3 linked regions of the Danio rerio genome follow. The protein of the gene in region 1 interacts with the protein of each later gene in a biochemical or structural test. Links are inferred from orthologs where the notes say so. Each region holds a gene or a part of one and is shown on either strand. Other genes may lie near its edges. The genes, in order: actb2, hip1rb and hnrnpua.

Region 1 (4,247 bases):
CCCAAAAAGTGTTCCTTTGAGAACAACTTCATAAATATGTTTCTTATCATTATGCATGAATGGTGTACTGGGAGAGCTTTGGTATCAGAATTGAGATAAGAGACTTTGGCATTCTAAAGGACAATGACATTATCACACTGACAGTCAACAACACTTTATTGCTCTGGAAATCTTATGTCATGGGGCAAAGCTGAGGTTCATTAGGACAGTACCTTATTTAGAGATGAATGGGAAGGCTGTAGTGGGCTGCTATCAGGGAAGGGTGGTGGTCCTCGGGGGAACTATGGACTCACAAAAGCACATCTGCTGTAACAAGATCCCCTGTGCAATCTACAAAAGTTACAAAGAGAAGCATGGTTGGTTAAAAAATAGAATTGACTGGATATGCTGAATGCATTGTTTGTTGTGTGTTACATCACATTAACCACAGATTGGTGCTAAATATTTGCTTATCTTATAAAAACCTGTGTGTTTATAAAGGGGGGTGTGGATGGATGCTTGGCATTCTTTGAAAAGATGTTGGGGGATGGAAGGAGGAGACCTTATTGATGAGTATCCAGTTTGCAGATAACAAGTTTTTAGACATTCATACTATGATGCTGTTTATGTCTGTTTTTTCTCATTTTTTCTATACACAAACAGCTATAAAACATTCACTTTTATATCTGATGCTGTATATTAAATTTCGTTGTATTTATTCTGTTTGCTCTGTTGGGTCATAGCTAGGGCCAGACAGAATCTGCTGACATTTTTTGCTTTTTCTGCAGAGAATTTTGTAAACAATCTGTGATTTATGCGAGATTTTTTCGGGAGTATCGTAACTAAAAACTTACTATATGAAATAAAAAAAAATAATACCTTTTTAACTTTTAATAAATATATACAATGCAAGTCCACCTAGATCCAATTATTTGGTCGACAAAGCAAGTCTCTCACATAATATATCTTCTAAAAGACAGAAAACATTACTTTCAGACCATATTGTAATCAAATGAACACTTTCATATTAGTCAATAATATTACGGAAATGTATTTAAAAACTGAATAAACATATATTTACACCTTTGTCTTTATTTCTAGAGTGCTTTTACAATGTAGATTGTGTCAAAGCAGCTTAACTTAGAGGATTAGTATAGTAAATTGAAACTGTGTCAGTCCATTTTTTAAGAGTTTAAGTTCAGTTCAGTTTAGTTCAGTGTGAGTTAATTTTTACTGCTGAGAGTCCAAACACTAAAGAGCAAATCCAAATACACAAGTCAATAAATAAACTCAATGATGGGCTAAAGATCTGGGGAAATCTGCAGATTTCTGTGCGCACAGATTCTGTGTGGGCCTAGTCATTACCTATACTCAACGTTTACTCTGAGAAACTTCCATATTTTAGAGGTAAAATGCTCAGAATTGTAAAAAGTCTTGTCAAAATACTTGGAATTTGCCAAAAACAAAATAAAAGTCACATCACCTCATTGTCCTTGGTATCAGCAAGCACTTTTAACACAATCAGCTGTTTTTGTTTATAACTCCCACTGAAGGCCATGTGCATTACTCCCAAGTTACACAGTAAAAAGTCACATGTAGTTTATCATGATCACTGCTGCTCAAGCACAGCTTTATCTGTTATTCAGTGTGGCAATATCTGAAATGTGTGCAAAATATTATTTATTGTAGCTGATCACCAACACTTTCAGTGTTTTTTTTTTCTACTTTTAATGAGAATTATGTTCTTAGGATTTATCCTTATAAACCTCTTTAAAAAGAAATGTTATGTCTGCATAGACACGACATGAAATTATGAACAGAAAATTTAACTATTTAAGATCAAGACTTGACATATAACATTTCTAATGAACATTAAACCTGAGGTAGGCCCACTTGCAAAAATGTAACTGCTATCACTCACTTTATACATCATTGTGTAACTTGTACACACAAAAATAGTGAAGCAATGTGGCATGGAATGCAGGTCCCATTCATTCAAAGTTATTAAAGCACTTTCTTAAAGTGCATTACTACTGAGCTAAGACCAGCTAGTTGCTCATACAACATACTACAAGTAGTGTCATCCTAATTTGGATAAAAAAAATGTCCATTTTATACATGGAAAAGTACTCATTAGATCCCCCATTGTTTGTATTACGGTATTTCGTGAACACAAGAGGTAAATGACCTACAGAGCTGCTGTTGTGTTAGATTGAAAACACAACACAGGATCATGGAGGCATCCATCATTATGACGCATTCTGCCACTTGTAACTCTGCACAGACTTTTTGAAAAGTTTAATTGAGTCTTGGCGTTGTCGCAGAAAAATACGAAAAATTCTGTGTTAAAATTTGCAAATAAAAATTCCAGTTTTATAGGAAATCGCCATGGCCTTGTTCTTTAACCAGTTAAGCTTCCCCTTCTTTCACTCTCAAGTTGCAAGAAGCAAGTGTAGCAATGTGCACGCGACAGCCGGGTGTGTGACGCTGGACCAATCAGAGCACAGAGCTCCGAAAGTTTACCTTTTATGGCTAGAGCCGGGTATGTGCCGTCATATAAAAGAGCGCGCCCAGCTTTTCAGCCTCACTTTGAGCTCCTCCACACGCAGCTAGTGCGGAATATCATCTGCTTGTAACCCATTCTCTTAAGTCGACAACCCCCCAAACCCAAGGTGAGTTGGTTTTACAGTTTTTAAGCGTTTAATTATAGTTTCTATCTATTAATGTTAAGTAAAATGTGTAAATGGATAAATATGATTTGATGAAGTCTTTAGACAGTTCATAACGGTCTCTTTGTAGTTATCTACTAGGTTTGATTTATAAGTGGTGGTTCTTTTGATAATCTATGTTACATTTAATAAATATTGGCTGTATCTTAACTTTTTTGTAGCGTTAGTGGATGTGGCAGGTGAGAATGTCGGTAATTTAACGTGACCAGTCGTAGGCACGACATTGAACATTGAATAGGCCGGTGTGAAATGGGTGTTAAGTCTTAATATAAAGTTGTGTTCTGGCTAATCTCTCTTTAACAGCCATAAATGTGATTTTTAACTACAGTTTTGAGGGTGCTGGTGAGCATGTTGCACACTTGATGGATAGCCGGCATGGGAAGTTCTTTGTGCAGGCAGTGCTGCAGCAGGGTGTGACCTACTTTAGCTAGCCGGCTAACCAGCTCTCATCTGATGTAACGTAAACCCCATCAATCTAACATCGGCTCATTCGTGCTTTATAAGATCGAAGATCTTGTTATTAGTAACGGGTATTGGCATTTAGTTTTAACTTGGTTAATTTTCTTTTTGTTATGTGTTCTATTTAAATGTAGCCTGCAGCCCCCTCTGTCTTTAATGAAGCTGAAGATTAACGTTAACGTTAGTGAAGTGTTGTATCCGCTATGAAAGATTTGAATTTTAGAGGTGTGGTCCACTTTAATAACGGCTGCGGAGTTCTCTGGCTGCACTTCAGCCGCTGTGACTGTCGAAGCAGAGCCCATCAGTTTTTCAGGATCTCGGTGATTTTTGAGGCTAGACTATGAACTGAACCGACTGAGAGTGACCGTCCAGAAATGCTTTAGTGTGAAGTCTCCGCTCACGAGGAGTCCGTGGACTGACTGCAGATCTGTGACGCAGTAACACCCGGCGGCAGACACCCGTTGAAATGCGGTTGTGTAATTGATCGCAGGCGAGGGTGGAAGAGGATGTGAAACTTCATTTGTGTAAAATTTAGGGAGTGGTCCTGGTGTGATGAATGTCGAAATCTGTTCCTTTTTACTGAGCCCTACGACTCTGGCTGAGTGCCACACCGCCGGCAGCCGCAAAGCGGCTCAAACCATTGCCTTTTATGGTAATAATGAGAGAATGCAGAGGGACTTCCTTTGTCTGGCATATCTGAGGCGCGCGCTGTCACTAGCGCCCACCAGCGGTCAGACTGTAGAATGCAGAGCAAAACAGGAAGTTGACTCCAGATGGTCACATGCTTGCTGAAACGCCTCTCCCTGGCAGCAGTGCAATTCTAACAGTTTCCCTTTCTTTTACAGTTCAGCCATGGATGATGAAATTGCCGCACTGGTTGTTGACAACGGATCCGGTATGTGCAAAGCCGGATTCGCTGGAGATGATGCTCCCCGTGCTGTCTTCCCATCCATCGTGGGTCGCCCCAGACATCAGGTGAGAAGACCGATTAGTTTGATTCTGACCCAAACTGAGAACTTTCTCAAGTAGTTCACAAAATGTAACGCTTGTGTCCTTGCATTACAGGGTGTCATGGTTGGT
Region 2 (3,654 bases), on another chromosome or scaffold:
AGGTTGGTGTTGTTGTTGTTGTTTTTTATTATTATTATTGTTAATTTTTTAATTGTTAAATGCAAATGTCACTCTTTTAATATCTGAATATAATAAATGAGTAATTAATTATTAATGTTACTATGTGTTATATATATATATATAAGTTATTAACATATAAGAGTTTTTGCATGGGCCTATAAAAATGCATTTTGTCTTTTAATATTTGTCTTGAAGGATCCTGAACAGCTGCACTGACCTGATGCAGGTGAGATTAGCACACACTGAATCATCGATGCCAAAAATCAACATTTGAGTTTCTACAGTACATCATGCACTTACTAAGGCATTAGAGTCAGTTAGTGCTGGCATTTGAGCTAGTTGCTTGCTTGTAATTATGAATGCTTTACTGTAATAATAATTGCATACAACACAAGGGCACTGCTAAATTAAGCATCACTGTTTATCAATGATGTAATTGTCTTAATGTTGATGTCCTGCAGGCCATTCGTCTTCTGGTGTTGGCATCCACAGACCTGCAGAAGGAGATTGTGGAAGGTGGAAGGGTAAAGTGTTCTTCTTTAAATTATTGTTGATTCATTGATTATTGATTTTCTATTGATTATTAGTACTTTTAAGTTTCAATCTGTTATATAATGCTGGGGAAACACCACAGGAGAAATTGGCTGGATTTGAGCTATCAAAATAATTGCAAAGACTGTCATTGTTTCTTCTTCATCGTTCGCCATTTCTGTTCTCAAGTCTTCTTTGTCACATTGTGGCAGGCCACGCACTATACGAGCAAAACAGTGAAATCTAGCATTTTTTTGTCCTCCTGTTTGTGACTTCTAACATTTTGAAAATCCCATAAGATAAACAACCTTTTAGTATGTACTAGTGGTGTAACAGATCACAGTTGATTTAGATCACAACCCACGGTTCAGAGCGCACGTGTCCTGCAGATTAATAACTTCTTCTTTACCTTTAGATTATTCAGAAGGTCGTGGTTTGCACTCATTCAATAATGGCTTCATACAGTTTTTATTTTACCACTTAATCTCATTTTCATTTCAATATACCATAATTAACCAAACAAGAAATGTTTAGCTTCACCTTCAAGAACATTATTTAACAGTTAAAAAACACATATCAATTATCATCATTCACTTATTTATGTCTACATCAATACAATGAAATTCCGACAGTCCAAAACATTACTTTTTTATTACATTTACTTTTAGATTAATCATACATTTTGTAATGATCGCAGAGAGATCGACAGTATGAAAGCATTTTTTTCTTTCCTGTAAAATAAAATTTTGAGGTAAGAAGTTGTGGTGGCACCTAAACGCTTTCTTAAGTTATTAAAGGTGTTTTCTGTCACTGGTTTAGTCTGCATTAATGCATTGAGTGTAAAGCTGCACAATTCATCTTTGAAAGTTCGGGATCTCTATTCAAACACCCACGCACAAACCTAAATTATGACCTAAATTATAAAGGATGATTTGCATATGTTTATTCATTCTTCGATGCGCTCCATTCAAATCTGCCGTTGACTGTGAAAGAGATTCAGCCTTTAGTTTTTCCAGCCAGTATTATTTCTAATTACATACTATCAAATAACACTGAAGATCTGGGAGATTCGTTTATAGTTCAGATATAAACACTGATGTATATGATAAAGATTAGAATCTATGTTTAATGCAACTTCACGCTCAAAATGAAAATTGTTGCAATTACATTGTTTGACCAATAGGTGGCATCAAAAACGTGTCACTGAATAATTCTTCAAAATGTATATATCTAGTAATGAACATGACGTTTTTGGATTATTAATTGAAAATAATTATGATGTGTTGTCGTACATGATTATAATGTTAAATTGATTTAGCATCATCACAGTATTGAATCATTTCTTTTTTTTAACCAGCTGGTTATTTCTTGATTATATTTTTATTAAAAGTGCAGACTCTAAGATATGTTTTTTTTTTTTAAACATTATTGTTTTTGGTAATAAATGGGAAGCAAATAACATTTGTCTTCTCTCCTTTTTGCCAATCCAAAAAAATGGTTTGATCCATGACTCAAAAACCGTAATGTGGTCTGAACCGTGAAATTTGTGATCAGTTACATCACTAGTATATACCCAGCCTATTTCTATTGAAAAATATTGCCCTATATGTGATTGTGTTTGCTGTGATATTACCACATGATCTGTTGTTGTTTTTTGTTTGTAGGGTGCAGCTTCAGTCAGAGAGTTTTATGCGCGCAATTCTCGCTGGACAGAGGGTCTTATTTCTGCCTCCAAAGCTGTGGGATGGGGCGCGACGCAGATGGTGTATGTATTTATGCATGTTCAAGAGCTCATTAAAACCTATACTTTTGCAATGCCTTGTTTGTAATGTTATCAGGCAATGATCTGTATCTGGAGAGATGTAAAATATCTGTTAATTAACTGTTTCTGTGTTTTGTGTTAATACGTGTGTTGAAAATCTGCCACAGGGGTAAGAACAAATCATCAAAGTCAAAACAATCATTTTTTTCTTACCCCATTGGCAGATTGTTTTGCTTGTTTTAAGTAAAAACTCACTTGATTTTGACTCATTATTTCTGAAAACAAGACAATAATTTTAGCTTGAAAAATTAGGAAAAATTAAAAAGCCTTTATTCACATGGCTAAATCCTAAAAAACCTACGTTTTTTTAACGTAGGGTAACAGGATGAAGGCAGATTCTTGCCGAAACGCGTAGGTTTTTTAGGATTTAGCCATGTAAATAAAGGCTTTTTAAATTTTCCACATTTTTTGAGTGCCGTGGACTGATTCCTGTTGTTGTATTGATGAATCCTTTACCCAAAGAGCACCGACCAAATATTTGAGTTACTCCTGAGCGCTTTTGGTTTGTTTTTCTGGATTAATATTTGTAGCTTTTCTAGAAAATCCTTTTTGATTCATGAGTTTTGCGATATTTGAACTAGAAACAAGACAAAAAATCTAAGTAAGTAAAGCAGTTTTTGCAGTGTGCTTATTTATATTTATTTATTTCTGTAGTAGTTTTCTGATGTTTGTATTGATGTTTGGCATTCCTCTGAACATTCATTTTAACATTCAGATTCTTTGATTATAAAGATTTGACTGTGTAATTTTATGGTTAGCTCTTTGTTTTGCTAACACAACTTTGCTTTCACTTTCCATCAGTGATTCTGCTGATAAAGTGGTGTTGCACACTGGGAAATATGAAGAGTTGATCGTCTGCTCTCACGAGATCGCTGCTAGTACTGCACAGCTTGTTGCAGCCTCCAAGGTTTCACTTTTATATCATTTATCGTATGTCTTTTAGAGCAATGAATCAGAGAAACAATCAGGCAAAAACAAAGTTGCCAGTTCACCTAGAACTGAACATTTCCTCCTTACCTTCAATTGGTTCAGAACAAATTATACGTTTTTTTCTGTTGATAAAAAAGACTTTACAGACCTGAAACTTGCCTATAGCACTTATTCATTGTTGCTTTTATAGTTGTGTAAATTGCTTCCTTGTCCTCATTTGTAAGCCGCTTTGGATAAAAGTGTCTGCTAAATGACTAAATGTAAATGTAAAAGAAGATATTCTGAAGAATGTTGGAAAAAGCAGCCACTGACATCCATAGTAGACAAAAAATATTCAATGTTTTTTCAGT
Region 3 (4,093 bases), on another chromosome or scaffold:
ATAATATCTGATAAAAACAATAACCCATACAATATAACTTCCACCAAAACACATTGATTTCATTCTTTAACAGCCCGAGCACTGAGGTGAAAGAGATGCCCTTAATATTATTATAAGCTCAAAATTATTTCAAATGGTCAGTAAAAATGTGTGTTTCTTTGCACTGATGTCAGATCTGGCTCTTTACTGCCAGAACTGCTCATAAATCTTTCAGGTGCAGCGGAACCTCAGGAGTACCAGCAGCCCGACTGCACAATTCTTACCGGCTGTATTTTCTTTCTTCAATAAATTCAAAGTAGGCCCTTCCATGTTCATCTCGGCGTCTCTTTACACCCTTCTTATTCTTCTGTTCATCTTTCTTGTCTTTGTCCGCATCCCCTTTGGAAAACAAACAATAAAGCGTAAGGAAGAGTACCTCCCTGCTGGACCAGGCATGATGTAACATGATGGTCCACAGAATTACTGGAGGATTTATACTCTTGTTTAGGGTATGCATGAATTGCAATGAGCAGTGCTTTAAAAGAAAATTTATGCTCAAGGAGCGACGTCAGACAGTGCGGGTATTGTACACTGCGGGATTGTATGAGTACAGACAGAAGGTTGATGCCAAGACAACTGCAAACTGTGCAATTTTGAGCTGAGTAACACACATTTACATATTCAAATTGCATGCATCTTGAAGAACTGCAAATGTTGTGACATAAAAATTAGCGATGCACCGATACTGAAACCAGTATCGGGTCAATGCTTTGTTAAAATACTTGTACTCGTATCGCAAATGAAATGACGATACCACTCAACAGTATGTCACTACGTTGATTTGTTGTCCTACATGACTTTAATGTCTTAAGACAATAATTAAAAGAGTGGCGAGACTTGACAAGGCCATATGATGCTTTAAAATGCTTTTCTAATGTTCATGACTATAGTATACAAATGAATGAGGTGTCACAGAGCACTGACTGAATCAGATGGCCAATCAGAGATATTGGCTATCCAGAGAAAGGGGCTTGGTTGAAACCAAAACTCAATCAGAGCTGCAGCAATGCAGAGAAAGTGGAAAATAATATACATTTTTTTGAAAATTAAAGCATTATTTTAAATTAAATAATAAATTAAAATAGCATCATAAGGCCTGTTTGATGGTCACAGATGTAGGCTAAAGCCACTAACCCCCCTTTAGCACAAAGGGGGTAGAAGCATCTGCCAAATGACAACAAAGAATACCATGAGGTGCTCCTCAATACTGTAGGGCATCTATGGACCTGAAAAAGTTTAACTTCCACTAAAAACATGTAGTCAATAAACATGAAATATATAGTGTTTGAGTTTTTAGCCCCTTTAAGCAACATATTTTCCAATAGTCTACAGAACAAACCATCATTATACAATAACTTGCCTAATAACCCTTACCTGCCTAGTTAATAATTAATCTAGTTAAGCCTTTGAATATCATTTTAAGCTGAATACTAGTATCTTGAAAATTCTTAAGTAAAATATTATTTACTGTCATCATGACAATAATAAAATAAATCAGTTATTACAAATGAGTTATTAAAACTATTATGGTTAGAAATGTTTTGAAAAAATCTGCTTCTTTTCCGTTAAAAAGAAATTGGGGAAAAAATAAACAGGGGAGCTAATAATTATGACTTCAACTGTGTACTGGTGCAAAGACATTATAAGGGATCAATTAAATAAAATGAATAAATCAAAATGTACATTTTTAATAAAAAAAAATAACAATGGATTTTTTTCATTATTTCTTGCATTTAATTTGCAGATATTTCTCATACTTTAATTAGGTTAATGAAATATGTATTACATTAAGGTTTGACATATGTAGCACAATGTAAAGAAGATGTTGCATTCACCATAAAAATATATATATTGAAAAACTATTGGATAATCAATAAAATTATAAAACACTAAATAAAGGAAATAGGAATAAGAAAATAATTAAATTACGTAAAAATATAAGTTTATATTTTATTAGAAATAAATATTTGAAATAAAAAGAAATACATTGTATTATATTATGCATGTTATTATAATTAATATAATTATGTATAACATTTAGCTATATTAGATTAGAATAAAATAAAATACTTACATACTTAGCAAAGTAAAGCCTATTGCTGTAAATCATATAACCTGAAACTGTAGCAGTAACTCAAGGAGAAACAAATGGGACAGCAGCAATGAGCCCATAACAAACCCCAGTATACGCGTTCTGCTGACAGTATGAATTATTTTAGCCCAATTATACACAAAGTAACTATGAATTACTCGATCTTCATCGTATAATCTCACCCTTGTCAAGAGCCACATCATCCTCATCGAATTTCTCCATCTCTTCATCTTCATCATCATCACCATCATCATCTTTAAGAAGAGCGTCTTCATCCGATTTATCCATCTCTACCCCGGCGTCCTCCTCTTCCTCCTCCATAATATCATCATGCTCGGCCTCCGCGTTTCCTCCATCCTCTTCTTCCTCCTCCATGCTCTCTCCCACCGGGTCCTCCTCCAGGTCTTTGCCGGCGGGGTCTCCTCCGTCCTCGTACCGACGCTCGGAGCCGTTAGTACCAGAGAGCGCCTCCTCGTCTAGTGCGGCCTGCAGGCGCGACATAAGATCCGCCTTCAGCCCTTTATCAGACAGACTCCTTTTCTTTAGCTCGTCCTTCAGCTCGTTCACTTTCAGCTTCTTCACGTTTATAGCGCTCATTGTGACCGTCGTCTTCAGACTTGTGTATTTGAGCAATTATGAACGGAAAATATGAACGGAAAGGGCAGGTTGTTGTGAGCGGACTGTCCGTTAACGCGCGGTGCGGTCACTGTAGGCAGCAGTCGAAGCGGAACAAGGCCAGCTCAGCTTTATATAATCTACCGTAAAGCACGTTATAGCCGAGCGCGTATGAGACTACCGTAAATATCGATATTGATTTAAGATAATAGACGTAGTTTTACAATTTTTAGAAATTGTATTGTCTGTGTGGCTTTTTTGTTTAAAACTTAAGGCATTTTTTGTTCTGTTTTTAAACATGGAATTTAATTAGATATTTTACAGTCCTTTAGATAGGGTGGCTCTTTTTTCTGAAAAAGTGGACCTTTTCTGCAGTTATTCACCTCATTTTCTATTCAATTATGAGGTTTAAATAATGCATTGTAGTGACATTTTAATTACTAATCTTCGCCGAATCTTTTTGACGTACTAAAAATATTTTCTAGAGTGCTTATACTGCTTTATTACAAAGAATTTGCATTTAAACTTTAATTTACTACAGTTATATAAATAATGCTATGAGTTTTATTCAAATAAAAAATTAATAAAGAAAAATAAAAACATACTTATTTTTAAATACAAATTTTTTATCATCCATCATTTTAAAAATATATGGTCAAACTTGTTTTAAACTAAAAAGTGTAGCAGAAAAAAAAAACTCACCATCTCATTTCACTTTCCTCAGAAAGCCAGAATTTGGCCACTTGATGAGCAGATGAACATGATGTATATAAATTAATTTCTGCCTCTCCTGATGCCTCTATTTTGATTTCCCATTTTATAGCCGTTTGTAATAATCAGTTTGACATATCTACTTTGTATTTGAAAGATTCTTGAAAGATTTACAGATTATAATTACCAATGGGGACTGGAAAAAGTCTATCAAGGTCATAATAAATACATAAGAGTGTGAAGATGCAAAAACCTCTAAATGCCTTTTGAAACATTTCCCTAAAAGGAGTATTTTTTATGTGTATTCATATCACTTAAATGGCAAAGATTAAGTCCTTTTCCTGGGCTTTAAAGTAAAATATCTCAACATAAACAAAGGATGCTGAGAAAAAAGTAAATTTTCTATGGAAATTTCAGATGTTTTTTGCATCTAAACTCTTGACATGTTCTATTAACTCAAGACACCTAATCCAATATAAAAGTGTGCATTGGCTTCATTATTCTATAGGGTTAAGCTTAATAAATTCTAGTCCTCTATCTCCTGTAAATGTAATAAATGTGAAGCTGAAGGCTTCATAGGACATATTTTTTGGTCATGGCCAAAACCTTTTGAGATTTGGAGCAAAATGTTCAGAT

The links.
Region 2: the proteins of actb2 (region 1) and hip1rb form a complex in vitro, tested with the Homo sapiens proteins (2 studies listed by BioGRID). The link is inferred for Danio rerio from reciprocal best matches to the Homo sapiens genes ACTB and HIP1R.
Region 3: the proteins of actb2 (region 1) and hnrnpua form a complex in vitro, tested with the Homo sapiens proteins (2 studies listed by BioGRID). The link is inferred for Danio rerio from reciprocal best matches to the Homo sapiens genes ACTB and HNRNPU.

What each region holds. Positions count from the first base shown.
Region 1 is NC_133178.1:39,482,365-39,486,611, reverse strand, and holds the start of actb2 (actin, cytoplasmic 2), read left to right. Parts: upstream 1-1,323; 5' UTR 1,324-1,336; intron 1,337-2,561; 5' UTR 2,562-2,651; intron 2,652-4,012; 5' UTR 4,013-4,019; coding exon 4,020-4,142; intron 4,143-4,232; coding exon 4,233-4,247. UniProt on the Homo sapiens protein: Actin is a highly conserved protein that polymerizes to produce filaments that form cross-linked networks in the cytoplasm of cells.
Region 2 is NC_133180.1:72,284,256-72,287,909, reverse strand, and holds part of hip1rb (huntingtin interacting protein 1 related b), read left to right. Parts: coding exon 1-2; intron 3-216; coding exon 217-247; intron 248-482; coding exon 483-545; intron 546-2,216; coding exon 2,217-2,317; intron 2,318-3,175; coding exon 3,176-3,281; intron 3,282-3,654. UniProt on the Homo sapiens protein: Component of clathrin-coated pits and vesicles, that may link the endocytic machinery to the actin cytoskeleton. Binds 3-phosphoinositides (via ENTH domain).
Region 3 is NC_133192.1:12,690,102-12,694,194, forward strand, and holds the start of hnrnpua (heterogeneous nuclear ribonucleoprotein U), read right to left. Parts: upstream 2,853-4,093; 5' UTR 2,729-2,852; coding exon 2,314-2,728; intron 379-2,313; coding exon 264-378; intron 1-263. UniProt on the Homo sapiens protein: DNA- and RNA-binding protein involved in several cellular processes such as nuclear chromatin organization, telomere-length regulation, transcription, mRNA alternative splicing and stability, Xist-mediated transcriptional silencing and mitotic cell progression.